Anolis sagrei: one gene and its partners. The protein of the gene in region 1 purifies or fractionates together with the protein of each later gene. This does not show direct contact. Links are inferred from orthologs where the notes say so. Each region holds a gene or a part of one and is shown on either strand. Other genes may lie near its edges.

Region 1 (7,561 bases):
CGCCTTCCTTGCTGGTCATGGAGAGGAATCCGAAGCCCATTCGCACGTTGAACCACTTGCAGATGCCGGCGCCGCGGAGGAGCGGCTGGCTGTCCTCTTCGGGGAGCGGAGAGTCCCCCCGGGGCCCCTCCTCACCCTCCTTGGCGCAGCCCCCTGCGGAGGAGCAAGGGAGGAGAGCCCCGTTGGAAGAGGGTCACGCCGGAGGGAGAAGAGGGAAAGAAGGAGAGGGAAAGAGGAAGAGTTGAAAGGAGAAGGAGAAAAATTAGAGGAAGAGGAAGGAGAATAAGAGGAAGAATAGGAAGAGGAAGGAGAAAAAGAAGAGGAAAGAGGAGAAAGAAGGTGAATAAGAGGAGGAAAAGAGGAGGAAGAGGAAGGAGAAGAGGAAAAGAGGAAGAGTTGAAAGGAGAAGGAGAAAAATTAGAGGAAGAGGAAGGAGAATAAGAGGAAGGATAAGATCGAGAAAAGGAGGAAAAGGAGAGGAAAGAGGAGAAAGAAGGTGAATAAATGGAGGAAAAGAGTAGGAAGAGGAAGGAGAAGAGGAAGGAAAATAAGTAGGAAGAATAATAAGGAGAAGACCAGGAAATAGAAGAATAAGAGAAGGAGTAAGAGGGAGAAGAGGAAGGAGAAAGGAAAGAAAAAGAAGGGGAGGAGGAGGAAAGGAAAATAAGAGAAAGAGGAAAAAGGAGGGAGAAGAGGAGGAGGAGAGGAGGAAGATGGAGAAGAAAAGGAAAGACGAGGAGAATAAGAGAAGGAAGAGGAGGGAGAGAAAGGGGAAGAAAAGGAAAAGGGGAAGGAGAAGAGGAGGAAGGAAGAAGGAGGAAAGAGGCGAAAGAAGAAGAGGGGGAAGAAGAGGAAGAGGGGGGAAAGGAGAACAAGAGGAGTAGGAAGAGGAGAAAGGAGAATAAGAGGAAGAGGGAAAAGATGAAGGAGAAGAGGAGAAAGGAAGGGAAGAAGAGGAAGGAGGTGAAAGAAGGAGAAGAGGGAGAAGAGGGGGAGGAAGGCGGGGAAAGAAGAATACAAGTGGAGAAGGAGGGGGAGAAAGGAGAATAAGAGGAAGAGGAAAAAGAGGAGGAAGACGAAGGAGAGGAGGAGGAAGAAGAGGAAAGATGGGAATAAGAGAAGAAGGAAGAGGAGGAAGATAAAGGAGAATAAGGGGAAGAGGAAAAAGAAGAAGGAGAAGAAGAAGAGGGGTAAGAAGAAGAAGGGAAAAAGGAGAAGAACAAGAGAAGGAGGAAGAGGAGAAAGAAGAATAAGAGGAAGAGGAAAAAGATGAAGAAGAAGAGGAGGAAGGAAGAAGAGGAAAGATAGGAATAAGAGAAGAAGGAAGAGGAGGAAGATAAAGGAGAATAAGGGGAAGAGGAAAAAGAAGAAGAGGAAGAAAAGGGGGAAGAAGAAGGAAAAGGGGAGAAGAACAAGAGAAGGAGGAAGATGAGGAAGGAGAATAAGAGGAAGAGGAGAAGAGGAAGGGGGAAGGAGAAAAACAAGAGAAGGAGGAATAGGAGAAAGGAGAATAAGAGAAAGAGGAAAAAGATGAAGGAGAAGAGGAAGGAAGAAGATGAAAGATGGGAATAAGAGGAGGAAGATAAAGGAGAATAAGGGGAAGAGGAAAAAGAAGAAGGGGGAAGAAGAAGGGAAAAGGAAGAAGAACAAGAGAAGGAGGAAGATGAGGAAGAAGGAGGAAAAAGGTGAAAGAGGGAGAACAGGAAGACGGGGAAGGAGAAAAACAAGAGGAGGAGGAAGAGGAGAAAGGAGAATAAGAGGAAGAGAAAAAAGAGAAAAGGAAGGAGAAGAGGGAGAAGTGGATGAAGGAGAAGATGAAAGATGGGAATAAGAGAAGAAGGAAGAGGAGGAAGATAAAGGAGAATAAGGGGAAGAGGAAAAAGAAGAAGAGGGGGAAGAAGAAGGTAAAAAGGAGAAGAACAAGAGGAGGAAGAGGAGGAAGGAGAATATGCGGAAGAGGAAGGAGGAGGAAAAGGTGAAAGAAGGAGAAGAGGAAGACGGGGCAGGAGAAAAACAAGAGGAGGAGGAAGAGGAGAAAGGAGAATAAGAGGAAGAGAAAAAAAGAGGAAGGAGAAGAGGGAGAAGTGGAGGAAGGAGAAGATGAAAGATGGGAATAAGAGAAGAAGGAAGAGGAGGAAGATAAAGGAGAATAAGAGGAAGAGAAAAAGGGGAAGAGGAAGGAGAAGAGGGAGAAGTGGAGGAAGGAGAAGATGAAAGATGGGAATAAGAGAAGAAGGAAGAGGAGGAAGATAAAGGAGAATAAGTGGAAAAGGAAGAAGAAGGTAAAAAGGAGAAGAACAAGAGGAGGAAGAAGAGGAGGATGGAGAGTAAGCGGAAAAGGAAGGAGAGGAAGGAGAAGAAGAGGAGGAAGAGGTTGAAGGGCGCTTGGACCCCGAGACCCAGCCAAGTGGGGGTTCTCCTCCTCCTCACCCGCCTGGGACAGAAGAAGCCCGTGCCAAGCTCCGCTCGGAAGGAATGGGTTCAAAGAGTGGGGATTCCCTTCTCCAGAAAGACGAGAACTCCTTCCCAAAGGATTCCCACGAGAGCCCTCAAAATGGGGAAACGGGGGCACCCCTCCTTTGTGGGAGAAGGAAACCCACCCACACAAAATACAGGGATGCTCGAAGGTCGGGGTCGGGGAAGAGGATGCCTTTTGCCTTTCATCTCTCCTCTTTTCCTTTCGTTTGTGTTCCGTTGAGGAAGATTCCCAAAGCTCCGTCGAAGAAGGAGAAAGAGGAGGAGGAGGAGGAAGGCAAAAGCACATGGTCTGCCTTGCAACCAAGTAGCCCGGCCGCCCTCTTCCCTCGTTCCCAAAAAGAAGAAGGGAAAAGGGGGCCAAGAGTCGGAGAAACCCAAACTCAGGGTGGGTTTCCTTCCTGGAGGAGAGGAAAGGGATGGGAGCGAAGGGAAGGCAAAGAAGGGAAGAAGGAAAAGAGCAGGATCCCCAGAGGCAAAAACGTTCACTTAACCTGCAAACTGTTGGTTGGAGACCGAGCCCATCCTGCCGACCCGGTGGAAATGGTGGAGTCGGGAGGACGCAGCCTCTTCCTCCTCCTCCTCCTCCTCCTCCTCTTCTCTGCCCACAGCCAGCCTGGGAATAGAGAAGGGGGGAGAGAAAAAGAGAGAGGGAGGGAGGGAGGAGGAAAGGGAAGGCGCAAGAAGGCGGTGGGAGATTCAAACCCAAAGGAAAGAGGAGGAGGAGCAGGTCGGGCGCATCTTCAATCCACAATAGCGGTGGGAGGGCCTTGGGGGGTGGGTAGGGGTGGGGGCTGCCCAAATTTTGGAGAGACAATAGTCAAGCCCTCCCTCCTCCCCTTGGCTTCTCCCTCCTCCTTTTGGGCCTCCTCTTTCAACCTACAAACACACACATCTCGCCCTATTAGAGGCGATAAGATGGGAGAGAAGATGGGAGAGAAGGGCTGGAGCTTGGGATTGAATTGTACCCTCCTTTTCCTTTCTGGTGGAAGGCAACTTCTTGCCCCTTGTGGCTCCTTTCTGCCACCCTCGTGTTGACGTCTGTCTGTTTCGACTCACAGAACCCTTGAGTAAGGAGGAGACCTCCAAAGGCCACCCAGTCCAACCCCTTTCTGCCAGGCAGGAGAAGCACAATTAAAGCACCCCCGACAGATGGTCACCGATGCTTCAAAACCTCCAAAGAAGGGAGATGTGTCCACACAGAACTTCATCCATGGAGGGAGATGTACTTGTCGAGTGGAAAACTACATACATACATACTAATAAACACATACACACACACATATATATACTAGCCGTCCCCTGCTACGCATTGCTGTGGCCTACAGCAATATTCAATATGCTCAAATGTGAACACTGGTGGAGTTTGGGGATAATAGAAACTTGATATTTGGGAGTTGTAGTTGCTGGGATTTATAGTTCACCTGCAATCAAAGAGCATTCTGAACCCCACCAAGGATGGAATTGAACCAAACTTGGCACACAGTTCTCCCATGACCAACAGAAAATACTGGAAGGGTTTGGTGGGCAGTGTCCTTTGGTTTTGGAGTTGTAGTTCACCTACATCCTGAGAACACTGTGGACTCAAACAATGATGGATGTGGACCAAACTCTGTGTAGGAAGTTTGGCCCATTTCTATCATTGGTGGGGTTCAGAATGCTCTGTGATTGTAGGTGAACTATAAATCCCAGCAACTACAACTCCCAAATATCAAGATTCTATTTTCCCCAAACTCCACCAGTTTTCACATTTGAGCATATTGGGTATTTGTGTAGAGTTTGGTCCACATCCATCATTGTTTGAGTCCACAGTGTTCTCAGGATGTAGGTGAACTACAACTCCAAAACCAAAGGACACTGCCCACCAAACCCTTCCACTATTTTCTGTTGGTCATGGGAGAACTGTGTGCCAAGTTTGGTTCAATTCCATCCTTGGTGGGATTCAGAATGCTCTTTGATTGCAGGTGAACTATAAATCCCAAATGACAAAATCAAAATTTTTTGAGTGAAAGGTTGTTGGGTGTATTGTGTCCAAATTTGGTGCCAATTCATCCAGGGGTTTTTGAGTTCTGTGAATACCACAAAAGAACATTACATTTTTATTTATAGAGATAATATTATCTAATAATTATTATATAATGTATAATAACAATATATAATTATATATAATATTATATAGATAGATATTCCCTCTCTCTCGCTCTATCTATATATATGTGTGTGTATATATATATAATATTATCTAATAATTATTATATAATGTATAATAATAATAATAATAATAATAATAATAATAATAGTAATAATAATAATAGTAATAGTGGCAGGGGGTTGGACTGGATGGCCCATGAGGTCTCTTCAAACTCTTTGATTCTATGATTCTATGATTCTATGATTAATCTATATACATAAAAATGTAATGTTTGTTTGTGGGATTAACAGAATTCAAAAACCACTGGGCAAATTGACACCAAATTTGGACACAAAGCACCTAACAACCCAATGTATGTCCTTCACTCAAACAAAATGATTTTGTCCTTTGGGAGTTGTAGTTGCTGGGATTTATAGTTCACCTACAATCAAAGAGCATTCTGAACCCCACCAACGATAGAATTGAACCAAACTTGGCACACAGTTCTCCCATGACCAACAGAAAATACTGGAAGGGTTTGGTGGGCAGTGTCCTTTGGTTTTGGAGTTGTAGTTCACCTGCATCCAGAGATCACTGTGAACTCAAACAATGATGGATCTGGACCAAACTCTACACGAATACTCAATATGCCCAAATGTAAACACAGATGGAGTTTGGGGAAAATAGAATCTTGACTGGGATTTGTAGTTCACCTACAATCACAGACCATTCTGAACCCCACCAATGATAGAATTGGGCCAAGCCTCCCACTCAGAACCCTCATGACCACCAGAGTGGGCCACCGCAATGCGTGGCAGGGGATGGTTAGTAATATATATATAAGTATATATTATATTATATTATATTATATTATATTATATTATATTATATATATTAATTATTATAATATATAATATATATAATTATATATAATATTATATAGATATTCCCTCTATATATACATACAAATAGATATATACATTATCTGTATATTATATATATAATATATATAATATTATCTAATTATATAGATAGATATTCCCTCTATATATATACATACATACATACATATATATATATATATATATATATATATATATATAATTATAATTATAATTATAATTATAATTATAATTATATAATATTTTATAGATAGGTAGATAAATATTCTATCTCTCTCTCTCTTTCTCTATCTCTCTCTCTATATATATATATATATTTGCCCAAGCCTGTTCTAAACATATCCAAACCGGGATTCTTTGGGAGGGGAGGGGTTATGGAGGTAAATACCTTTGCAAAACATTGCATTTCTTGCCTTTTTCTTTAAGGCGATCTGGCCCTAAGGCGAATGTAAAGCAAACACATGTTTTTGTCCGTGTGGTAGTTTAGCGTGCATCTAACCAAACGAATGCAGTTTGGTAGTGTATATATAATGTTATAATATGCTATATATAAAATATCATATACATTATGCATGTATTGTAATATCTATTATACAAAATGTATATGACATTATATTTTTATATATATATATGCAATGTGATATCATATATAATATTGTATAATAATAATAATTGCATCATTATATATAATATATAATATTATAAGATAATGTTGTATATTATATTATTAATGTGTGTGTCTGTGTGTGTGTATATATATATATATATATGTATGTATGTATTGTCGAAGGCTTTCATGGCCGGAATCACTGGGTTGTTGTAGGTTTTTTCGGGCTGTATGGCCATGGTCTAGAGGCATTCTCTCCTGAATGCAGGCGAAACGTCAGGAGAGAATGCCTCTAGACCATGGCCATTCAGCCTGAAAAAACCTGCAACAGCCTATATATATATGGTTTGAAAAAAGCATGTCACTCCTAAATTGTGTATATATATATATATATATATATATATATAGTTTGAACAGAGCATGTCACTCCTACATTATATATATGTGTGTGTGTGTGTGTGTTGTAGGTTTTTCGGGCTATATGGCCATGTTGTAGAAGCATTCTCTCCTGACGTTTCGCCTGCATCTATAGCAGGCATCCTCAGAGGTTGTGAGTTCTATATATGGTTTGAACAGAGCACGTCACTCCTAAATTATACACACACACACACACATACATATATATAATGTAGGAGTGACGTGCTCTGTTCAAACCATATATAGAACTCACAACCTCTGAGGATGCCTGCTATAGATGCAGGCGAAACGTCAGGAGAGAATGCTTCTACAACATGGCCATATAGCCCGAAAAACCTACAACAACCCATATATAGATAGATAATATTATGATATAATATATATACATACATTAATAATATAATATACAATATGATATTATAATATACAATATAATATATATATAATATAATAATATAATATACAATATTATATATCATATCACATATATGCATCACATATATATATATAAATATATATATGTAAGATTATATGTATGATATAATATGTATACATATTATATGATAAAATTATATATTATATTACATATAATGCAATATATATACACATGCTTGTGTATTGAGATATATATAATATACTAGTGTATAGAGATGGCCATCTGTCGGGGGTGCTTTGAATGCGATTTTCCTGCTTCTTGGCAGGGGGTTGGACTGGATGACCCATGAGGTTTCTTCCAACTCAGTGATTCTATATACCTGCATATAATAAAGTTGAGTCATCTGATCAGTGCATAGAACTGTATTCTATGGCTCCACACTGTCTGTGTAATGCAGTTTCAAACCGCATTATATGGCAGTATAGATTCGGAGGATTAACAGTTGAAATCCGGATTATTCATTTAAAAGGGAAAGGGTTCCTTTTAATGGCAATTTTTCCCATGTGGCCAAAAAACAACACTGAACCCGGGCTCATTTAGAAGTGTAACTATTGAAGAAAGCAAAAAAAAGTGTCAATATGATAATAGGGAAT
Region 2 (6,837 bases), on another chromosome or scaffold:
TTGTTGTTTTTGGGCAACTGAAATAACACTTCTGAAACACTGCAATATGTTTTTGTGCATTGGCATATCTTTGTCCCTAACAGTTCAAAGAGGTATCTAGGTATATCAGTGTGACAGCTGAGAAACCTAAGTTGCTTTGCATGAATACTACTGGATCTTTGCCACTAAGGAGAAGGTTGAGTTAAGCTAGTTTTAACTCTTTTAACTGGAGCCCGCAGTGGCACAGTGGGTTAGACCACTGAGCTGCTAAACTTGTTGACCAAAAGGTCGCAGGTTCGAATCAGGGGAGTGGGGTAAGCTTCCACTGTTAGCTCCAGCTTCTGCCAACCTAGTAGTTTGAAAACATGCAAATGTGAGTAGATCAATAGGTACCACTGTGACGGGAAGGTAACGGCGCTCCATGCAGTCATGCTGGCCACATGACCTTCGAGGTATCTACAGACAATGCTAGCTCTTCAGCTTAGAAATGGAGATGAACACCGCACCCGAGTTGGATACGACTGGACTTAATGTCAGAGGAAAAAAATTACTTTTACCTAACTTTTCTGTGTGCGACTTGGAATGCACTGAACAGACTGTGTTCTGGCACTACGAGATGCAGAGCTAATCTTAAGAAATGGGGCTACAAAGTGGAATCCACGACATGCGAGTGTGGAGAAGAGCATACCACTGACCACCTGCTGCAATGCAACCTGAGCCCTGCTACATGCACAATGGAGGACCTCCTTGCGGCAACACCAGAGGCACTCCAAGTGGCCAGATACTGGTCAAAGGACATTTAATCAACTACCAAGCTTGCAAACTTTGTGTTTTGTTCTGTTAGAAATGTAATTGTCTGGTTGCCCCTGACATGATAAATAAATAAACCTAACTCTTCTTAGGAAGATTATAGTTTACAAACAACAAGGGCATGCCTTTCCAAAAGGTTCTGAATATCCATTTTCCAAAATAATTACTTGTAGTAAAGGAAAATTGCAATAAATATTTTCTCTTTCCCACATCCAAATACTTTTAAAATAATTGCCTCTTACTCTTGATTGGATGGTTCTTTCTCCCATTCAGCAAATATGTGTATATGAAATTATATAGCCAGTAGCCACACTTCCATTTGTAATGAACAGTGTCCAAATGTGAATTTTGAAAACACACACATACACACACAGAAATTCAGCATTGTGTTGTCAAAGGCTTTCATGGCTGGAATCACTAGGTTGCTGAGAGTTTTCTGGGCTGTATGGTCATGTTGCAGAAGCATTCTCTCCTGATGTTTCACCTGCATCTGTGGCAGGCATCCTCAGAGGTTGTGAGGTTTGTTGGATACTAAAAATGGGAAAAGTTTATCAAACTGCACAAAGTGTTCTTGAAGGCTTTCATGGTAAGAATCACTGGGTTGCTGTGAGTTTTCTGGGCTATATGGCCATGTTCCAGAAGCATTCTCTCCTGAAGTTTCACCCACATCTATGGCAGGCATCCTCAGAATTGAGGGGTCTTTTGGAAACTAAGTTAGTGAGTTTTATATATCTGTGGAATGTCCAGGGTGAAAGAAAGAACTCTTGTCTGTTTGAGGCAAGTGTGAATGCTGCAATTGGCCACCTCTATTTGCATTGAAAAGCTATGAAAAGGAAACCATAAAAATGAACAAAATCTGGCGACCAGTATTTAAAAATACTCCAACATCAGAGCAGTAAAGCAAGAAAGTCTGTTCTTGCTTTATTTATTTACTTATTTACTTCATTTATATACCGCTTTTCTCAGCCCTCAGGCGACTCAAAGCGGTTACTTTACTGCGTACCTGTGCAGATGTATCTCCTTCTAAGCAAGTGTGGATGTTGCAATTAATCTTTCTCCCACCCTGGACCTTTAACAGACAGATAAACCTCCCTTGCCTAATTTCCGACAGCCCTCACAACCTCTGAGGATGCCTGCCATAGATGTGGGTGAAACTTCAGGAGAGAATGTTTCTGGGACATGGCTATAAAACCCTATACGGTTCTGGCCCTGTCAGAACGTATCTCCTTCTACATCCCACCTTGGAGTTTAAGATCTTCTGGGGAGGCCCTGCTCTCGGTCTGCCTCTGTCGCAAACGAGCTTGGTGGGGAGGAAGGACAGGGCCTTCTTGGTGGTGGCCCCCTGTCTGCAGAATTAGATTATCAAAATTCCTCCTTTCCTTTAGAAAAAAGTTAAAAACATGGATGTGGGACCAGGCTTTTGGGTAATATTGCTGACAATGATGACAATCGCTATGGAAATAGACTATGGACAAACTACAGAGAAAGCCACCAGGCTGTTATGGAAACACATTTTAATTAATTAATGTGATTTAATGTTTTAAATGTATGTAATTATTTGATTTTATTATGTATTTTATTATAATTGTTGCCAGCTGGAAGCTGCCCTGAGTCCCCCCCCCCTTCCGGGGGGTTGAGAAAGGCGAGGTACAAATATAAATAAAATAAATAAACAGTCCGGAAAACTCACAGCAACCCAAATTCAGCATTCACCCATATTGTGACTCTGGGATAAAAGAAAAAGAGGGAAAGCGAGGGGATTTCCTCCTAAGGAGAGAGAGCCCTTGGTCACAAAGTGTGGGAAAGAGGGTGCTTTGGCTGAGGGGGAAGTCCACTAACGAAATTCGTTTTAAGCCGGAACGAAACCGGGTTACGAAACGTGGTGTGGACGGGACTTCCCTATGAGACGCCTTCCCCATTTGGGAATACGCACAATAGGAAGACCTTGGACCTAAGAGGAGGGTGGAAGTTTCCTGTTGGCTTTCCCAGCCTCCCCTTTCCTTCCTTCCTCTCTTTCCCTCCCTTTCCTTGAGCTCCGGCGGAAGTGGGTCCGCTCCTTCGGAGATTCAAAGGATTCCGTGCTTGGGATCAGTTTCACGCGAGGCATTCTGGCCCAAAAGCGGGCGAGAGAAAGGCACGGGGGGGGGGGGGGGAGAAAGGGAAGGAGATCCTCCGCTGGATCCACAAGAGGGAAGGAGAAAAGGGGGAGGAAGGAAAGAAGGGGCAACAGAAGGAGCAAAGAAATAAAAAGCCTGAAGGGAGTGGAGGAGGCTAATGGCGCAAATACCACGCACCTTTCCTCCCTTGTGGATTTTTGATCCGACCTTTTTGTTTCCAAAACGTGAAGGGAGGGTTTGAAACCAAACTCCCGCCACCACGCGAGGAAAAGGGATCTGACAAAGGAAACGCGATCCTGAGGCCGGGACCGGTTTCGCAAACACGCACTCCCCCCACTTCTTTTCCCTTCCCCCGCTTTCCGCGTCCTCCATGAATAAGAATTATTCTCCTTCAAGGCAGGAGGCTTGTCTCTTGGAAGGAGGAAGAGGAAGCGCGTGGGGTCCAAAAGGAGGAAGAAGAGAAGGCCTCGTCAGTGCCAAAGCGGGAATGGCGTGGGGTGGCGGAAGAGCAGTGGTAGCGTAAGGTCACGCTGCTCGTCTGTCCATTCATTCATTCATTCATCCACCCACCCGGCGGCTTTGGTGGGTTTTCGGGCTGCCTGGCCATGTTTTGAAGCATGATCCCGGCCAGGAAAGCCTTCGACAATACAAAGAAGCTGCTGCCGGCTGCCGTGTTCGCTCCCTGCTTCAGCCATGCGGGGCTGGAAAGAGCCCTAGCCTGAGGTCACGCTGCTCGCCTTATCCATTCATTCATTCATTGCCTTTGGAAGGAAAGAAGCTGCTGCCGGCTCCCTTCTTTGCTCCTTTTCTCGGCCATGCGGGGCCGGAAGGGGATTGGAGTCCCGCCCGAGCCCTCCTCCCACCCGAGCCTCGTGCAGGGAGCCCCGAAGAGCGAGGAGTGAAGGCAACGACCCCCCGCCCCCGGACGAAGACAAGGCGACAGACCTGATGGACTGTTCCTCCCGGAAGGAGGAGGAAGGGCTTGAAAGAGAGAGGCCTCCAAGGCGGCCACTGCGAGAGCGCCCCAAGAAGCTAAAGGAGGGAGAGAGGAGGGGGTGGGGGTCTTTCTTGATGCCACTCCGGGGGGTCTGCAAAGCGGGGTTTCCTTGCTAGTCTCAAGGAACAGCTCGAAAGAGATACAGAAGGCGGCAACTGCGGGAGCGCCACAAGCAGGAGGAAGAGAGGAGGAGAAGGGGGAGGGGGTCTTGTGAGGGGTCTGCAAGCAAGGAACAGCCTGAGAGAGAGATACAGAAGGCGGCAACTGCAAGAGCCCCCCAAGGAGGAAGAGAGGAGGGGGGTGGGAGTCTTCTGAGGGGTCTGCAAGCAAGGAACAGCTTGAGAGAGAGATCCAATTGCAAGAGCGCCCCAAGAAGCTGAAGGAGGAAGAGAGGAGGAGGGGGTGGGGGTCTTCTGGATGCTACTCCGGGGGGTATGCAAAGCGGGGTTACCTTATTAGCGTGAAAGAGACACAGAAGGAGGCAACTGCGAGAGCGCCCCAAGAAGCTGAAGGAGAGAGGAAGGGGGGTCTGCAAAGCGGGGCTTCCTCACTAGTCTCAAGGAACAGCCTGAAAGAAAGACACAGAAAGAGGCAACCGTGAGAGCGCCCCAAAAAGTTGAAGGAAGAAGAGAGAAAAGCGGCAATTGCAACAGCGCCCCAAGAAGCTGAAGGAGGAAGAGAGGGGGGGGGGGTCCCTTTGATGGCACACCGAGGGGTCTGCAAAGCGGAGCTTCCTCGCTAGCCTCAAGGAACAGCTTGAGAAAGAGATCCAGAAAGCGGCAAGTGCGAGAGAGCCCCAAGAAGCTGAAGGAGGAAGAGAGGAGAGAGTGAGGGTCTTCTGGATGGTAGTCCGAGGGGTCTGCAAAGCGGGGTTTCCTCGCTTGCCTCAAGGAACAGCCTGAAAGAGATACAGAAGGCAGCAATAGCGGGAGTGCCCCAAGAAGCCGAAGGAGAGGAGGGGGAGGGGGTGGGCTCCTTTGATGGCACACCCAGGGGTCTGCAAAACGGGGCTTCCTCGCTCGCCTCAAGGAACAGCTTGAGAGAGATAGAAAGCGGCAATTGCGAGAGCGCCCCAAGAAGCTGAAGGAGGAAGAGGTGGGGATCTTAATGCCACTCCGAGAGGGGTCTAGCTAGCCTCCCCTCCCCTTTCCCCCTCCCCCATGGCTTCCTTCCCGGAGCCGCACTTCCAGATCTGCCCGCTGTGCAAGGAGATGTGCGGCTCGCCGGCGCCGGCCTCCTGCAACAACTCCTCGTCGTCGTCCTCCTCCTCCTCGTCGCAGACCTCCGGAGGAGGAGGAGGAAGTGGCAACCCTGTTGGTGGTGGGCCCGGCGCGAGCTGCCCTTCCTCCTCCTCTTCCTCGTCCTCGCGGCGGCGCCTGCTGGTTCTGCCTTGCTTGCACGCCTTCTGCCGGCAGTGCCTCGAGGCCCAGCGCCAGCCCCCGCCCTCCTCCTCCTCTTCCTCGTCTTCCTCCTCCTCCTCCTCGTCTTCTTCCTCCTCCTCCTCCTCTTCCTCGGGGGACGCCCCTCTCCAGCTGCGGTGCCCCCTCTGCGACCAGAAGGTGGTGATCTCGGAGCCGTCGGGCATGGACGCCCTGCCCTCCTCCAACTTCCTCCTCAGCAACCTGCTCGACGTCGTGGTCGCCGCCGCCAACAACGCCAACAACGCCAGCGAGGAGCAGAACAACGGCAGGCCCAGCGGACCCGGGGGAGGGCCCGGAGGGGGGCCCGGAGGAGGAGGAGGGGGGAACAGCACCAACAACAGCAGCAGCAGCGCCAACAACAACCGGCACCACCAACACTCCCGGCAACAGCAGCAGCAGCGCCCGCCTTCTTCTTCCTCCTCCTCCGCCAGCGCAGGGGCTTCATCCCCGGGCTCGTCGTCGCTGCTGCTGCTCCGGAGGCCGCACAGCCGCCAAGGCGGGGATCCCCGGTGCAGCTCCTGCGACGAAGGCAACGCCGCCAGCGCCCGCTGCCTCGACTGCCAGGAGCACCTCTGCGACAACTGCGTGCGCGCCCACCAGCGCGTCCGCCTCACCAAGGACCACTTCATCGAGCGCTTCGGGCCCGGCGCCGCCCCGCAGAGCCAGAGCCTCGTCGCCGCCGCCGCCTCCTCCTCGTCCTCCTCCTCCGTGGGGCCCGCCTCGGCCCTCGGCTCGCCCTACAGCATCCTCGCCGCCGCCTTCCCGGACCGGGCCAGCTACTGCCAGCAGCACGACGACGAGGTAAGAGAGAAAGAGAGAGAGAGACCCCACTTTGCCCCCTCCCTCAACGCGCCTCAGGCTGCGAAGGCCTCTCCTCAGCATTACTATTGTTGTGAAGCGCGTGGGGGCAAAGTGTTCGCCTTCGAAGCTTGCCTCACTTATGGCGACCCTGAGGCCAACTTAGGGTCCACCCGAAGGCCTCCTCATAGGCTTGTGGAGAGGCGTGTCACGACACTTATTGTTCTGTGTTGTGGTATATATGAGGTATGGGCCAAGTTGGGTCCTCCAGGTGTTTTGGACTTCAACTCCCACCATTCCCAACAGCCTCAGACTCTTTCCTTTTCCCCCTCAGCCGCTTCAGCTTTGGACTTCAACTCCTATCATTCCCAACAGCCTCACCCCTCTTCCTTTTGCCCCTCATGCCCTTAAACATTGGACTTCAACTCCTACCATTCCCAACAGCCTCAGACCTCTACCTTCCCCCCCCCCCCCGCCACTTAAACGTTGGACTTCAACTCCCAACCTTCCCAACAGCCTCAGATCCTTTCCTTTGCCTCCTCAGCCGCTTCAGCATTGGACTTCAATTCCCACCATTCCCAACAGCCTCAGACCTTTTCCTTTCCCCCCTCAGCCGCTTAAATGTTGAACTTCAACTCCCACCATTCCCAACAGCCTCAGGCCCTTTGCTTTTCCTCCTCAGCTGCTTCAGCATTGGACTTTAATTCCCACCATT
Region 3 (7,203 bases), on another chromosome or scaffold:
TTTTTAATTTGATGTATGTCTAATTGTAGTGTATAATTGTAATTGTTTGTATTGGCATTGAATTTTTGCCATTATTTATGTCTAAACCGCTTTGAGTCCCCCTCGGAATGAGAAAAGCGGTATACAAATACTGAAAATAAATAAATAATAAATTAAGTACTAATTAATTAAGAGTAACACAATTTTATTTATTTATTTAATTAATTTACTGGGTTTTTATACCGTCTTTCTCAGCCAAGGGCAAGTCAAGACGGTTCACAATCGGCAGCAACTCGATACCATAATAACAGGATATACAGTTAAAAACAATTATTTAAAAAGTTATAAAACAGTTCAACATTAAAAATATAAAAACCATAATATTTATAAAAATAAGTCCTCAACATCTCCTTACTGAAATCGTGATCCAATTGCATCATCAGACATTCCATGATACATTTTCATCTAATCATGCTCCAGTAGTAAAAGCCTGCTCGAACAGCCAGGTCTTAACCATTTTGCAGAATATTAGAAGGGAGCTGATCTTATATCTCTGGGGAGGACGTTCCATAGCCGAGGGGCTACCACTGAGAAGGTCATGTCTCTTGTCTCCGCCAAACACGTCTGTGATAAAGGCAGGATCAAGAGCAGGGCCTCCCCAGATGATCTTAAAGTCAACGTGCTTCAAACACATCTAAACCTCAAACCAAACATTTGCAGGTGTTTTACAGATCATATCATTAAACAATTCCTGTAGAAAATGGGACCTGTGGATTTCTCAAAGGTCTGTTATGTTTAGAGATTATTGTTAATGTTGCATTATTTTATTGTCCATGTTTTGTTTTATTTTAATTGCTTGTATTGTTATTATTGCTTGTATTGTTGTATTTGGGCTCGGCCTCATGTAAGCCGCACCAAGTCCCTTGGGGAGATGGTAGCGGGGTACAAATAAAGTGTTGTTATTATTATTTAGAGATGCTCTAAAGTTAAAAGTGAGAATAAGGTGACCAAATTTGCAGATAACACTCAAGATTCAATGCGGTCTCTATTTCCCCAAATCTATTTATATAATAAAAGTGTATGTATATGTATGTGGGTGGGTCTGTATGTTTGTGGCAAACTTCCAATTGGCTCCCACTTCCAGAGACCACTGCAATCCCACCAATGACAGATCTGGACCAAACTTGACACACAGAACTCTGGTGACCAACAGAACATACTGGAGGGATTTGGGGGGACTGACCCATCCAGGTGGGAGTTGTAGTTCACCTTGCATCCTGAAAGCACTCTGAATTGCACTGATGATGGATCTGGAACAAACTTGGCACACAGACCCAAAACAGCCAACTTTGAATACTGGCAAGGTTTGTGGCTTAATGACCTTGGAATCCGAGAATTATAGTTCACCCACATCCAGTGAAAACCATATCCAGATGGATGATGGATCTGGACCAAACTTGGCATGCAGACCCACCGTGGTCAATTCTGAACACTGGCGAGGGTTGGGGGTGATTGACCTATAATAATAAATAATAATAAAAATTTATTTATACCTTGCTACCATCTCCCCAAGGGACTCAGTGCGGCTTACATGAGGCCAAGCCATTACATCAATAAACAAAGGCAATAACAAAACAATCAATACAAAAACAGTTAATATAAATCTCATAAACAAAAAATAAACAACAACACACAAGCATTTAAAAACTTATGGCTGGGGCAAACGTAATAACTTAATTTTTAAAAAAATAATGCTATGATTTTTGGAACTGTAGTTCACCCATATCTTGATGCATTTTCTAAAAAAAGGAAAGACGGTCTTTTCTCCCAATAAATAGCGTTGCAAATGACCAAACTGATATTACCTCACAATCAAAAAAAAAAAAAAGCCTTTTTCCTGACTGCATTTCTGTATAAGAATTCACACGATCTCTTCATTCATCTGGTGAGGCCCTGCTCATGATCCCACCTGTTTCACAGGAGCGATTGGTGGGGAAGAGGGACGGGGCCTTCTCGGTGGTGGCCCCACGACTCTGGAACTCCCTCCCCAGGGACATCAGGCAGGCCCCAACATTGGCAGTCTTTAGAAGGAGCTTGAAAACGTGGATGTTCCAGTGTGCCTTCCCAGAATAAGGAATCCTAGCAATATGTCCTCAATGCACTTTATGAGAGATCCAGAACTGCCTGCACGTCCACCTTTCCAAAAACATTCCTCCTATCCCCTTTAAACTTCCCAGCTTTTAACTATTAAAACTTTCACATTTGGCCCTGCCTTATGTTTTAAAATGTGTTGTGTCATTATTGTATTGTTTTGCTTTTTTGAGTTATTTATCGTTTGCTGTTGTTGTTTTTTATGATGTTGTTGGGCTTGGCCTCTTGTAAGCCACACCGAGTCCTGCGGGAGATGGCAGCGGGGTATAAAAACAATAAATAATAATAATAATAAAATAATAACACGGGCATTGCTGAGTACCCAAACTAGCAGGAAATAAAGCTGCAAATGACAGAATCGTAAATTGGAAGAGACCCCAGGGGCCTTCTAATCCACCCTCATTCTGCCATGCAGGAGAAGCACAATCAAAGCAGCCCCGGCAGATGGCCATCCAGCCTGTTTCTATGCTTCCAAGACACTCAGACGCAGAGAGTTCCACTGCTGAACAGATATTACAGTCAAGAAGTTCTTCCTAATGCTGAGGAGGGACCCCCTTTTCTGTACTCCCCCCCCCTTGCAGCCTCAACTGGGTTTCTTTTGAGGAGGGTGAAGACTGAGGCTTATGAGGTGCCTCTGAAGGGTCTTGGCCTAGCGCGGCAAAGAGCCTGTTTTGGGCGCAGCCGTGTGAGAGAACCCTCCCCCGGGAGGAGAACGCCGTGGCGGGTTCGAGACTGCTTTCCCTACCTCGGTGTTGCGCCACACGCCCCCTTTGATCATAATCCGCGGCATCTTGGCGGCGAGAGAGGGCGAGAACGCAGCTGAGGCGACGGGCAAACGGCTGCGAGGCAAGAAGTCAGGCCTCAGGCTGCGCGCGCAGTCCCCTCCGTCACCGGAAGCCGACGGAAGAGAACGTTGCCGCGCGGGGAAGGGAGGGGGCGCCGTTTCCCCTGCGCATGCGCACTTGGATCTCCCTCCTTGTCCCCTTTCAAAGTGCTTTTGCTCGTCACAGAAGAAAGATTGTCTTTAATCCGGACTGTCCTTCTCGTGTTTCCCCTTCCACACAGCTCAATACAATCCCACATTTTCTGCTTTGAACAGTGGCAGTGTAGACTCAGCTAATCCAGTTCAAAGCAGATACTGTGGGATTTTATGCCTTGATATTCAGGGATATAGGGCAGTGTGGAAGGGCACCTTATGGTTAAGAATTTTTATTTATTTATCGTGTTAGGACCAGCCACTGTGTATCATGTTATGACCAGCCACCGCCAGAAGGGACAGAGTTTCATCTATGCTGATGATCGTGCCATTACTGCTCAAGCAGGGAGCTTTGAGATGGTTGAACAGAAGCTCTCTGAAGCTCTAGGTGCCCTTACCGCCTATTACAGGGAAAACCAGCTGATCCCTAACCCATCCAAAACACAGACATGTGCCTTTCATCTCAAGAACAGAGAAGCATCCCGAGCTCTGAAGATCACCTGGGAAGGAATCCCACTGGAGCATTGCAGCACACCCAAATACCTGGGAGTCACTCTGGACCGTGCTCTTACCTACAAGAAGCACTGCCTGGATATCAAGCAAAAAGTGGGCGCTAGAAACAATATCATACGAACGCTGACTGGCACAACCTGGGGATCACAACCAGATACAGTGAAGACATCTGCCCTTGTGCTATGCTACTCTGCTGCTGAGTATGCATGCCCAGTGTGGAACACATCTCACCACATTAAAACAGTGGATGTGGCTCTTAATGAGACATGCCGACATGCCGCATTATCGCGGCATTATCACAACTTAAATCTAGACATAGTTTTCTAAGATCTACAGAGACACTCGCTGGAACACCTCAGCAAGCGAGAGCTCGAAAGTGGCAGGCTCAAACCCAGAACCTCAACCAATGGATGTTACCAAATGAGAGACTCCCCCCCCCCCTGGGCACACAGAGGACTGGGTGACTTGGAAGGCGCTGAACAGACTGCGCTCTGGCACCACGAGATGCAGAGCCAACCTCAAGAAATGGGGCCACAAAATGGAATCCTCGACATGCGAGTGTGGAGAAGAGCAAATCACTGACCACCTGCTGCAATGCAACCTGAGCCCTGCTACAAGCACAATGGAGGAGCTTTTTGCAGCAACACCAGAGGCACTCCAAGTGGCCAGATACTGGTCAAAGGACATTTAATCAACTATCAAACTCGCAAATTTTGTATTTTGTCTGTTTGTTTGTTTGTTTTGTTCTGTTAGAAATGTAATACAATTGACTGGTTACCCTGACACGACAAATAAATAAATCGTGTTAGGAGCAGACCAAACAGCTGGATTGCATTTTTTAACAAACAGACAAACAAACAAAACACAAAGTTTGCAAACTTGATAGTTGATTAAATGTCCTTTGACCAGTATCTGGCCACTTGGAGTTCCTCTGGTGTTGCTGCAAGAAGGTCCTCCATGGTGCATGTAGCAGGGCTCAGGATGCATTGCAGCAGGTGGTCTGTGGTTTGCTCCTCTCCACACTCGCATGTCGTGGATTCCACTTTGTAGCCCCATTTCTTGAGGTTGGCTCTGCATCCCGTGGTGCCAGAGCGCAGTCTGTTCAGTGCCTTCCAAGTCGCCCAGGGGGGGAGTCTCTCATTTGGTATCAGCCACTGATTGAGGTTCTGGGTTTGAGCCTGCCACTTTTGGACTCCCGCTTGCTGAGGTGTTCCAGCAAGTGTGTCTGTAGATCTTAGAAAACTGTTTCTTGATTTAAGTCATTGACGTGCTGGCTGATATGCAAACGGGATGAGCTGGAGATGTCACTGCCTTGGTCCTTTCACTATTGTTTGCTACTTCCTGGCGGATGTCAGGATGTCAGGTGGTAAACAGTGTAATTTCTCCAGTGGTGTAGGGTTAAGATGCCACACTGCCACATCCCACACAAAGCAACTCACTCCCAAATGTGATGCTCCTCATGCCCTTTGGAGACCTGAAGTAATATTAAGAGTTTGGAAATATTAAACACAAGCCGTCCCCTGCCCCGCATTGCTGTGGCCTAGTCTGGTGATCTGGAAAATAAAGTAATGAGAAAGTGTTGGTTTCTAATATCTAATTTCTTTATGCTTGTGGGTAAACAGTATTTCTTGCTGTTTCTTTGTCAGTGTTGATGTGGAGATTGTCTGGTTTGCCTACTCTGGAATATGCAACATATCATTGTCCTTCTTTAGGGGTTCCTTTTAAATCTATGATACTATATCTGTGTGTGTGTGTGTGTGTGAATCATATCTATCTATCAATATCTATGGCTGGGTGGCACTTTGATTACGTTTTCTTGCCCTGGTGAAGGGAGTTGGACTGGATGGCCTTAAGTATTTTCTGTTGGTCATGGGGGTTCTGTGTAGGAAGTTTGCCCTAATTCTGTCATTGGTGGGGTTGAGAATGCTCTTTGATTGTAGGTGAACTATAAATCCCAGCAGCTACAACTCCCAAATGGCAAGGTTTATTTTCCCCAAACTCCATCTGCGTTCATATTTGGGCATATGGAATATTCATGCCAAGTTTGGTCCAGACCCATCATTGCTTGAGTCCACCGTTCTCTCTGGATGTTGGTGAACAACATCTCGCAAAGTCAAGGTCAGTGCCCACCAAACCCTTCTAGGGTTTTCTGTTGGTCATGGGAGTCCTGTGTGCCACGTTGGGTTAAATTCCATCATTGGTGGAGTTCAGAATGCTCTTTGATTGTAAGTGAACTATAAATCCCAGTAGCGACAACTCCCAAATGGCAATGTTAATTTCCCCCAAATTCCATCTGTGTTCATATTTGGGCATATGGAATATTCATGCCAAGTTTGGTCCAGATCCATCATTGTTTCAGTCCACAGTGCGCTCTGGATATTGGTGAACTACAACTCCCAAACTCAAGGTCAATGCCCACCAAACCCTTCTAGTGTTTTGTGTTGATCATGGGAGTCCTATGTACTATGTTCGGTTCAATTCCATCATTGGTGGAGTTCAGCATGCTCTTTGATTGTAGGTGAACTATAATTCCCAGCAACTACAACTCCCAAATGATAAAATCAATTTTTTGAGTGAAGGACATACATTGGGTTGTTAGGTGTCTTGTGTCCAAATTTGGTGCCAATTCCCCCAGTGGTTTTTGAGTTATGTTAATCCCACAAACGGACATTACATTTTTATTTATATAGATGAAGTCATCCTTTGAAAACTTCCCTAAGGGCTCTATATCCCAGAACATCAAGGCAGAAAATCCCACTTTATCCAAGTGTGAACTCAGATATCCCAATTTCAAAGCAGATATTGTGGAGTTTTCTGCTTTAATATTCTGGGATAAAGAGCTGTGTGGAAGTGAAGGGACATAGATGCAGGGACACTCCAAATGCACAAGCTTATGAGTCCACTCATTGGCCCAATGTAGCCATAAGTTGGATTCTTACTACAAAAGCTTTATTGCGGGCCTAGCAATATCGACAAAGAAGCATACAGGAATGCAATCAAAGGGTTTGTCGCAATTCCATTGGGACTGCAGGGTTTTTATCATTTTTGGCACGTACATTCTCATTGGTTCCCAAAGACAAATAATTTCATTGGTCTAAGATAGCTCGATGGTTCCTCATTGGTGGTTTATGATTTTGATTGACATAATAGCACACGTGGGATCCTAACAATGCCACAACTATAGAAGAACTATAGTCCATTGTTCTCTGACCATGACTGTCTTAATGAATCAATTTATCTGTTAGTCGGTTGCCAACATGACTCCAGAGCTACTGGGAAACTTGGGAGTTCTAACTAGCCACCAGCTAGTTGGAACGGATGTACTGTTATCCTTGAATAGTAACTTCTTCTCTGGAGCACTGATTTCTCAATCAGCATTTTTTGTAAACATAGGCATACTGCAGAAATAGGGCAATGTGGCAGTGAATGAGCATATGAGCATTGGAACATCTCTGAAAATTCCCTTTTAAAACTACGTCTCCTCCAGAAGGGCCCCCACATGATCTGTTTTGAACTGGAATAGATGACTTAGGGCCCTTCCACACAGACATAGAACCCAGGATATCAATGCAGAAAATCCCACA
Region 4 (7,141 bases), on another chromosome or scaffold:
ACCTTTATACAGATTTTAATGGTTTAATTGTATTATCTATTAAACTGGCTTTAGCACAGCAAGTTTATCACCAGCTGCAGTAAATCTTGCCAACTGAAAGGCTGACAGTTTGAAGCTGGATCAGGGTGAGTTCCTGACCTTCAGCCAAGCTCTCCGCCTATCTAACAAATTGAAAACAGCAATGTGAGTAGATAAATAGGAACCACATTAACCGGGGAGGTATTTTAGGCACAGTGTTCAGAGAAAAGTTTACAAACACAAAAAGCTCTTCAGCAAGATGGAAAAACAGCACCCCTTGTGGCAGGAACCAAGCACAGCCTCCAAAGATGCTGAAGAAATGGGGAAAAGTCTATGTAATACCTCTGTCTGTTGTCTGTCTTGTCACTGTATAATCGGCATTGAACGTTTGCCATATACATGTTCTGTGATCCACCCTGAGTCCCCTTCAGGGTGAGAAGGGCGGAATATAAATACTGTAAATAAATAAATCAATCTATGGGGCCTGGCTGACTGACTTAGATGCTTTTAGCCAAAGATGTTTAAACTGCTTTAATTGTATGTTTCAATGTTTTCATTTCAATACTGTACACGACATTGAATGTTTGCCATTTTTGTTTATGGAAGCCATCCTGAATCCCTTCAGGGAGAGAGGGCAGGTTAAAATAAAACTTTATTATTATTATTATTCCAGTGGAAACACACAGCCCAGCCCTGTCCAGATGTGTGAGGGCTCACACTTCCATTATCCCCTGTGAGTGCTCATTCTTTTCCTCATCTCCCTTTGAGGACCCGTTTCCTAGGATGTGGAGATGCCACCTGCTACGATCAGTATTCAGTCTGCTCTTGGGCTCAGACATGCCAACCCTGAAGTCTGAAGCCATCGCTCTAGATCCAGGTCTAGAAGCCCTGCCCTGAAGGCCGGATCATCTCCTGCAGGACCAAATGGAGGAGGTGGTTCTGCTCAGGGCTGAGGAGTGGCCAGAGCTCCTTCTGCAGGGCCTTGAGGGCCAGTGTAACGGAGCAGCAGGTAGAGTTTGGCAGGAATGTAGCTGGGCGAGGCGTCCAGGGCCTCCCAGGAGTACTTCTCCAGGGTCTGGGCATGTTCGGGGAGCAGCTTGGAAGGTGGCGGCTGGAGCAAGAGCAGGGGGAGGACGCGGGTGACTTCGAAGCGGAGCAGTTCATCCAAGAAGGCACCTGGGAGTTGATGAATCGAAGCAGGAGAAGCAGAGGCGCCTTGGGCCTTAGTGAGCAGGGCCAGGGCGCCATCGTGGTCCCTGCAAAGGAGGAGGCAGGAGGCGGCCTGGCTGTGGGCCCTTTGAGGACCTGTTTCCTAGGATGTGGGAATGCCACCTGCTGCAGCCACTGTTCTGTGTGCTCTTGGGTTCAGGCATTCCCACCCTGCAGTCTGCAGCCATCGTTCTAGATCCAGGCCTAGAAGCCCTGCCCTGAAGGCTGAATCATCTTCTGGAGGACCAAATGGAGGAGGTGGTTCTGCTCAGGGCTGAGGAGTGGCCAGAGCTCCTTCTGCAGGGCCTTGAGAGTTGATGAACGGAAGCAGGAGAAGCAGAGGCGCCTTGGGCCTTAGTGTTTCCTAGGATGTGGGGATGCCACCTGCTGCAGCCTCTGTTCTGTGTGCTCTTGGGCTCAGGCATTCCCACCCTGCAGTCTGAAGCCATCGTTCTAGATCCAGGCCTAGAAGCCCTGCCCTGAAGGCCGGATCATCTCCTGGAGGACCAAATGGAGGAGGTGGTTCTGCTCAGGGCTGAGGAGCGGCCAGAGCTCCTTCTGCAGGGCCTTGAGGGCCTCCAGGTCCTTCTCCTGGCAGGCCATGACGGTAGACTGGAGCAGCAGGTAGAGCTCGGCAGGGATGTAGCTGGGTGAGGCATCCAGAGCCTCCCAGGAGTACTTCTCCAGGGTCTGGGCATGTTCGGGGAGCAGTTTGGAAGGCGGCGGCTGGAGCAAGAGCAGGAGGAGGACGCGGGTGACTTCGCAGCGGAGCAGCTCGTCCAAGAAGGTGCCTGGGAGTTGCTGAATGGAAGCAGGAGAAGCAGCAGAGGCGCCTTGGGCCTGTCCTTGGGCCTTAGTGAGCAGGGCGAGGGCGCCATCGTGGTCCCCGCAGAGGAGGAGGCAGGAGGCAGCCTGGCTGTGTGCCCGCAGCGCCTCCAGGGGCAGCTGGGCCAAGACCAGGAGCTCCCCCGCGCGGAGGAAGGCGGCCACGGCTTGGGCGGCCTCCCCGGCGCCGCGCAGCTCCTCGCCCAGCTCGAGCCACAGCCCGGCGGCCAGGGCGGGCTGCCCGAGGTCGAGGCGGAGTCGGGCGGCGAAGGCGAGGCAGCTCTGGGCGGCCGGGAGGTGGTGCTCGGCCAGGCCCAGCGCGGCGGAGGCAGGCCCGCCTTGGCGGAGGCGCAGCTCCCGCTCGTGCCGCAGCCACAGCCGGGCCGCCTCCGTCAGCGCCGCCGCCTCCCCCGGCGCGTGGCCCAGGCTCTGCGAGCAGCGCGCCACCGCCAGCTGGCACCAGGCCGCGTGGGGGAGGCTCTCCTGGGCGCGCAGCTCCCGAGCCAAGGCCCAGAACTGCTCCGCCGCCTCAGACACGTTGGGCTTGCGGAGGAAGCGGCGGCGAAGCTTGGCCGACACCGCCCGGTAGCGGGACAAGAAGTCTCCGCCCGCCCCGCCGCTGCCGCCTTCCCCCGAACCGAAGCCCGGAGGCGGGCCGGAGCCTGGAACAGACAGCATTCTCCCTTCCTCCCTTCCTTCCCTCAGGGATGCCAAAACAACACTGGAGGCGCGCTTCCGGTCCGGACGGGATGTGACGACACGCTCTCGCACTGGAGGACTCGGATGTTAAGAAGGGGGCGTGGCTAAGAGTGTGTTGCTATAGTGATGAGAGGGAGCTCTTGGACTAAGAGGAGGGCCTAGCACAGGCTGAATCATAGAATCCTAGAGTTGGAAGAGACCTCATGGGCCATCCAGTCCAAGCCCATTCTGCCAAGAAGCAGGAATATTGCATTCAAATCACCCCATATTTATTTGTCATGTCAGATTAACCAGTCAATTATATTACATTTCTAACAGAACAAAGCAAAAAAACAGATAAAATACAACACTTCTGAGTTTGGTACTATGTTAAATGTCCTTTGGACATTTAATCAACTACCAAGCTTGCAAATTCTATGTTTTGTCTGTCTGTTTGTTTTTGTTAAAAATGTAATACAAATGTATTGTCGAAGAGGAAAGGTGTTCCTGCCATACATCAAGGGAACCACTGACCGCATAGGGAAGCTGATGAGGAAACACAACATACAAACTATCTACAAACCCACCAAGAAAATCCAACAAATGCTACGTTCAGCAAAGGACAAGAGGGATCCTCTCACTTCTGCAGGAGTCTACCGTGTACCATGCAGCTGTGGACAAGTCTACATAGGGACCACCAAACGCAGCATTGCCCAGACACGCATCAAGGAACATGAAAGGCACTGCAGACTACTTCAGCCAGAGAAGTCAGCCATAGCAGAGCACCTGATGAACCAGCCTGGACACAGCATATTATTTGAGAACACAGAAATGCTGGACCACACCAACAACCACCATGTCAGACTACACAGAGAAGCCATTGAAATCCACAAGCATGTGGACAATTTCAACAGAAAGGAAGAGACCATGAAAATGAACAAAGTCTGGCTACCAGTATTAAAAAACTCTAAAATTATAACAGCAAAACAACAGAGAGGAAACAACCAGGCACAGATTAACACCTCCCAGCAACAGATTTTCCCAGGTTCAGGCAGGCCTTCAAATGCTAATGAAGGTGATCAGCTAAACATTCACACCTAACTGCAGCAGGGAAGAGCTCCTTGCCCCACCCCAGCCATTCCACAGATCTATAAACCCATTGTCCTATTTCCAACAGACCTCACTACCTCTGAGGATGCTTGCCATAGATGCAGGCGAAACGTCAGGAGAAATGCCTCTAGAACATGGCCCTATAGCCCGAAAAAACCCACAAGAACCTTGTAATACAAATGTCTGGTTGCTGATAAATAAATAATGAGGGTGCAATTTCCGGCGTGGCCACTAGGGGCGTTGTGGATCCCTCTGGCCAGTTTGTTTCCAGCCCGCCCTGGTGCCGCGTTGCCTCTCGGGAGCGGAAGTGGGCGTGGCGTCCCTTTCCGGCCGGAGTGAGCGCGCGGGTGTAGCGTGCTCCAGAGGCAGCGCGTGGCGGAGGCAAGATGGCGGACGGTGGCGCAGGTGGGTTCCTTGCTGTTTAAAGTTTAAGAGTCAGGGCAGGAGGAGGCTTTTGTTGAATTGGAGGAGGGCGCTTCCCCCCTGGGTCTGAGAGGAAGCATGCTCAGAAGCAGCCCTGTGAGGGCCACAAAGGGAGGGGAAGCACTCCATGTATGCTCAGAGGTAGCCTTGCCATCTTCCCTATCAGGGCCACAAAGGGAGGAGCAGCTTAGGCTTTCTCCTCCTCAGTCAATGGGGCGAGGAGATACAAAGAAGGCGTTGCAACCAGGCCTTGGGTACTTTGGGTCTTTTTGATGAGAAGAAAGAATAGTAGTAATAATAGCTATATAAATAAAAATGTAATGTTCATTTGTGGGATTAATATAACTCAAAACCCACTGGACGAATTGACACCAAAGTTGGACACAAGACACCGAACAACTCAATGTAGGTCCTTCATTCAAAGAAATTGATTTTGTCATTTGGGAGTTGTAGTTGCTGGGATTTATAGTTCACCTACAATCACAGAGCATTCTGAACCCCAACAGTGATGGAATTGAACCAATCTTGGCACACAGAACTCCTACGGCCAACAGAAAATACTGGAAGGGTATTTTTAGTGCCACGACTGACCATTATAGTTATTGATTGTAATTGCTGTTTTAATGTTTTACTGTAATATGTATTATGATGTTTTATTGATTGTATGTGATATTATGGTTGGAAACAGGTCTGAGTCCCTCAAGAGAGGTGAGAAGGCCGGTATACAAAACTTTTAAATAAATAATAAATAGAGTTTGGTGAGCAGTGTCCTTTGGTTTTGGAGTTGTAGTTCACCTACATCCAGAGAGCACTGTGCACACAAACAATGATGGATCTGGACCAAACTTGGCACAAATAATCTACACGAATACTCAATATGCCCAAATGTGAACACTGGTGGAGTTTGGGGGAAATAGAATCTTGACATTCGGGAGTTATAGTTACTGGGATTTATAGTTCACCTACAAACACAGAGCATTCTGAAATCCCACCAACGATAGAATTGGGCCAAATTTCCCACACAGAACTCCCATGTTTGCCACAGCAACGCGTGGCAGGGGATGGCTAGTATAAATAAAAAATGTAATGTTCGTTTGTGGGATTAACATAACTCAAAAACCACTGGATGAATTGACACCAAATTTGGACACAAGACACCTCTCAGGCCAACGAGTGGCCATCACTAAAAAAAGACTGAAAAACAGCAGAAGAGGCTTTAAAGCCAAAAACTACAATGCAGGCGCAAAACCACACACGCACATATATGCAAACACACATATTCACATTTTGCATGTACATCTATATAAATAAAAATGTAATGTTTGATTGTGGGATTAACATAACTCAAAAACCACTCGATGAATTGGCATCAAATTTGGACACAATACACCTCTCAGGCCAACGAGTGACCATCACTCATAAAACACTAAAAACACACACACAAGAGACTTAAAAAGCCAAAAAACACATTACAACAAATGCTTAAAACCACACATATATATGCAAACACACATATATACACATACACACAAATATATACACACTCAAAACACATCTACACAGGCTGGGCCACAGCAACGCATGGCAGGGGACATCTAGTTATTACTATTCTTTTATGTTTGTATTATTATTAGTATTCTTTCCTAATAATAGAATTGGCCTGAGAGGTGTCTTGTGTGCAAATTTGGTGTCAATTCATCTAGTGATTTTTTAAGTTATGTTAATCCCACAAACGAACATGACATTTTTATTTATATAGATTGGATGTAAGAGCCTAAGAGTCTGTTTTGGGAAGGACTGTAGGGATATAGAGATATATATCATAGACAGATATGGATAGATAGATAGATAGATAGTAAGATAGATAGATAGATAGATAGATAGATAGACAGACAGACAGACAGACAGACAGACGCTATATATCAGGCAAGGGCTAACTTTGGCCCTCCTGGTGTTTTGGACTTCAACTCCCACAATTCCTAACAGTGGGAGTTGGAGACCAAAATACCTGGAAGGCCCAAGTTGGCCCATGTCTGAAAGAGATAGATGGATAAATATTCTATAGGTTCAAATGTTCAAGCTTCATTATGTAAATGGCATGTCTCATCTATAAAACACTAAAACCAAAGTTTGACTTTTCAAAACATATTTTTTCAAAACATCTGTCCCTGCGTTCAGAATCTGTGGATGGCCAAACTACTATCCTCCACATGTTTGCGTCTAATGCTTTGAGCGGGATTGTATTGCGCCCTTTTCCACTTTCATGCCAAAGCCCTGAAGCACATGGAAGATTGATGGCGGCAACTGCTAACAGTACACTATGTAACAAAATTTGAAAAAAAAAATCTGCCCCTGATTTGAAAGTGTTCTTTCTAGTTTAATTGTGCGGTCTTTGAAAAGAGTTGTTCTACTCCAGAAACTGTCTGGAATTGGTTGAGACTATGTAAGATATTAGTTGAAAACCTATAGCAAAATAATCTGCAGGATCTCCGTCAAAATAATAATAATAATAACACACCTTTTTCATGTTTTTATGATAGAACTAATCAGGAAATGACATTTATAACCCAGGAACAAAAAATGTATTATTATTGTATTGCAGCATTAAAAAGTGTTCTTGTAACAATGCAAGTATGATATTGCAATTTAAATAACTGCATTGTTGCATATATATAGAGAGAGCAGAGAAAAAAGTAGCCCCCAAAGTTTTTAGTCTGTAGCAGCTGCTGCCATTGCCTTGTGGATAGTCTATGTATTCCATTCCCTCTGGTAGAAGGTGGCTCCCATTGTGCTTTCCATGCTTTTATTTTCTGCTCCTACCAATGTTGCTGATCTTGTAGAAGCTGAATGACAGTTGCAAGTGGTAAGAGCAGGAGCT

The links.
Region 2: the proteins of LIN28A (region 1) and TRIM71 purify together in Homo sapiens (affinity purification with mass spectrometry; 3 studies listed by BioGRID and IntAct, with this or other methods). This does not show direct contact. The link is inferred for Anolis sagrei from reciprocal best matches to the Homo sapiens genes LIN28A and TRIM71.
Region 3: the proteins of LIN28A (region 1) and CDC5L purify together in Homo sapiens (affinity purification with mass spectrometry; 3 studies listed by BioGRID and IntAct, with this or other methods). This does not show direct contact. The link is inferred for Anolis sagrei from reciprocal best matches to the Homo sapiens genes LIN28A and CDC5L.
Region 4: the proteins of LIN28A (region 1) and DKC1 purify together in Homo sapiens (affinity purification with mass spectrometry; 3 studies listed by BioGRID and IntAct, with this or other methods). This does not show direct contact. The link is inferred for Anolis sagrei from reciprocal best matches to the Homo sapiens genes LIN28A and DKC1.

What each region holds. Positions count from the first base shown.
Region 1 is NC_090034.1:73,558,703-73,566,263, reverse strand, and holds the start of LIN28A (protein lin-28 homolog A), read right to left. Parts: upstream 3,001-7,561; coding exon 2,970-3,000; intron 154-2,969; coding exon 1-153. UniProt on the Homo sapiens protein: RNA-binding protein that inhibits processing of pre-let-7 miRNAs and regulates translation of mRNAs that control developmental timing, pluripotency and metabolism.
Region 2 is NC_090026.1:81,420,141-81,426,977, forward strand, and holds the start of TRIM71 (E3 ubiquitin-protein ligase TRIM71), read left to right. Parts: upstream 1-3,833; 5' UTR 3,834-5,063; coding exon 5,064-6,125; intron 6,126-6,837.
Region 3 is NC_090021.1:147,843,006-147,850,208, reverse strand, and holds the start of CDC5L (cell division cycle 5-like protein), read right to left. Parts: upstream 3,021-7,203; 5' UTR 2,921-3,020; coding exon 2,876-2,920; intron 1-2,875.
Region 4 is NC_090030.1:15,196,711-15,203,851, forward strand, and holds the start of DKC1 (H/ACA ribonucleoprotein complex subunit DKC1), read left to right. Parts: upstream 1-4,138; 5' UTR 4,139-4,226; coding exon 4,227-4,245; intron 4,246-7,141. Other genes in the region: 40-kDa huntingtin-associated protein-like, read right to left, coding at 1,693-2,730.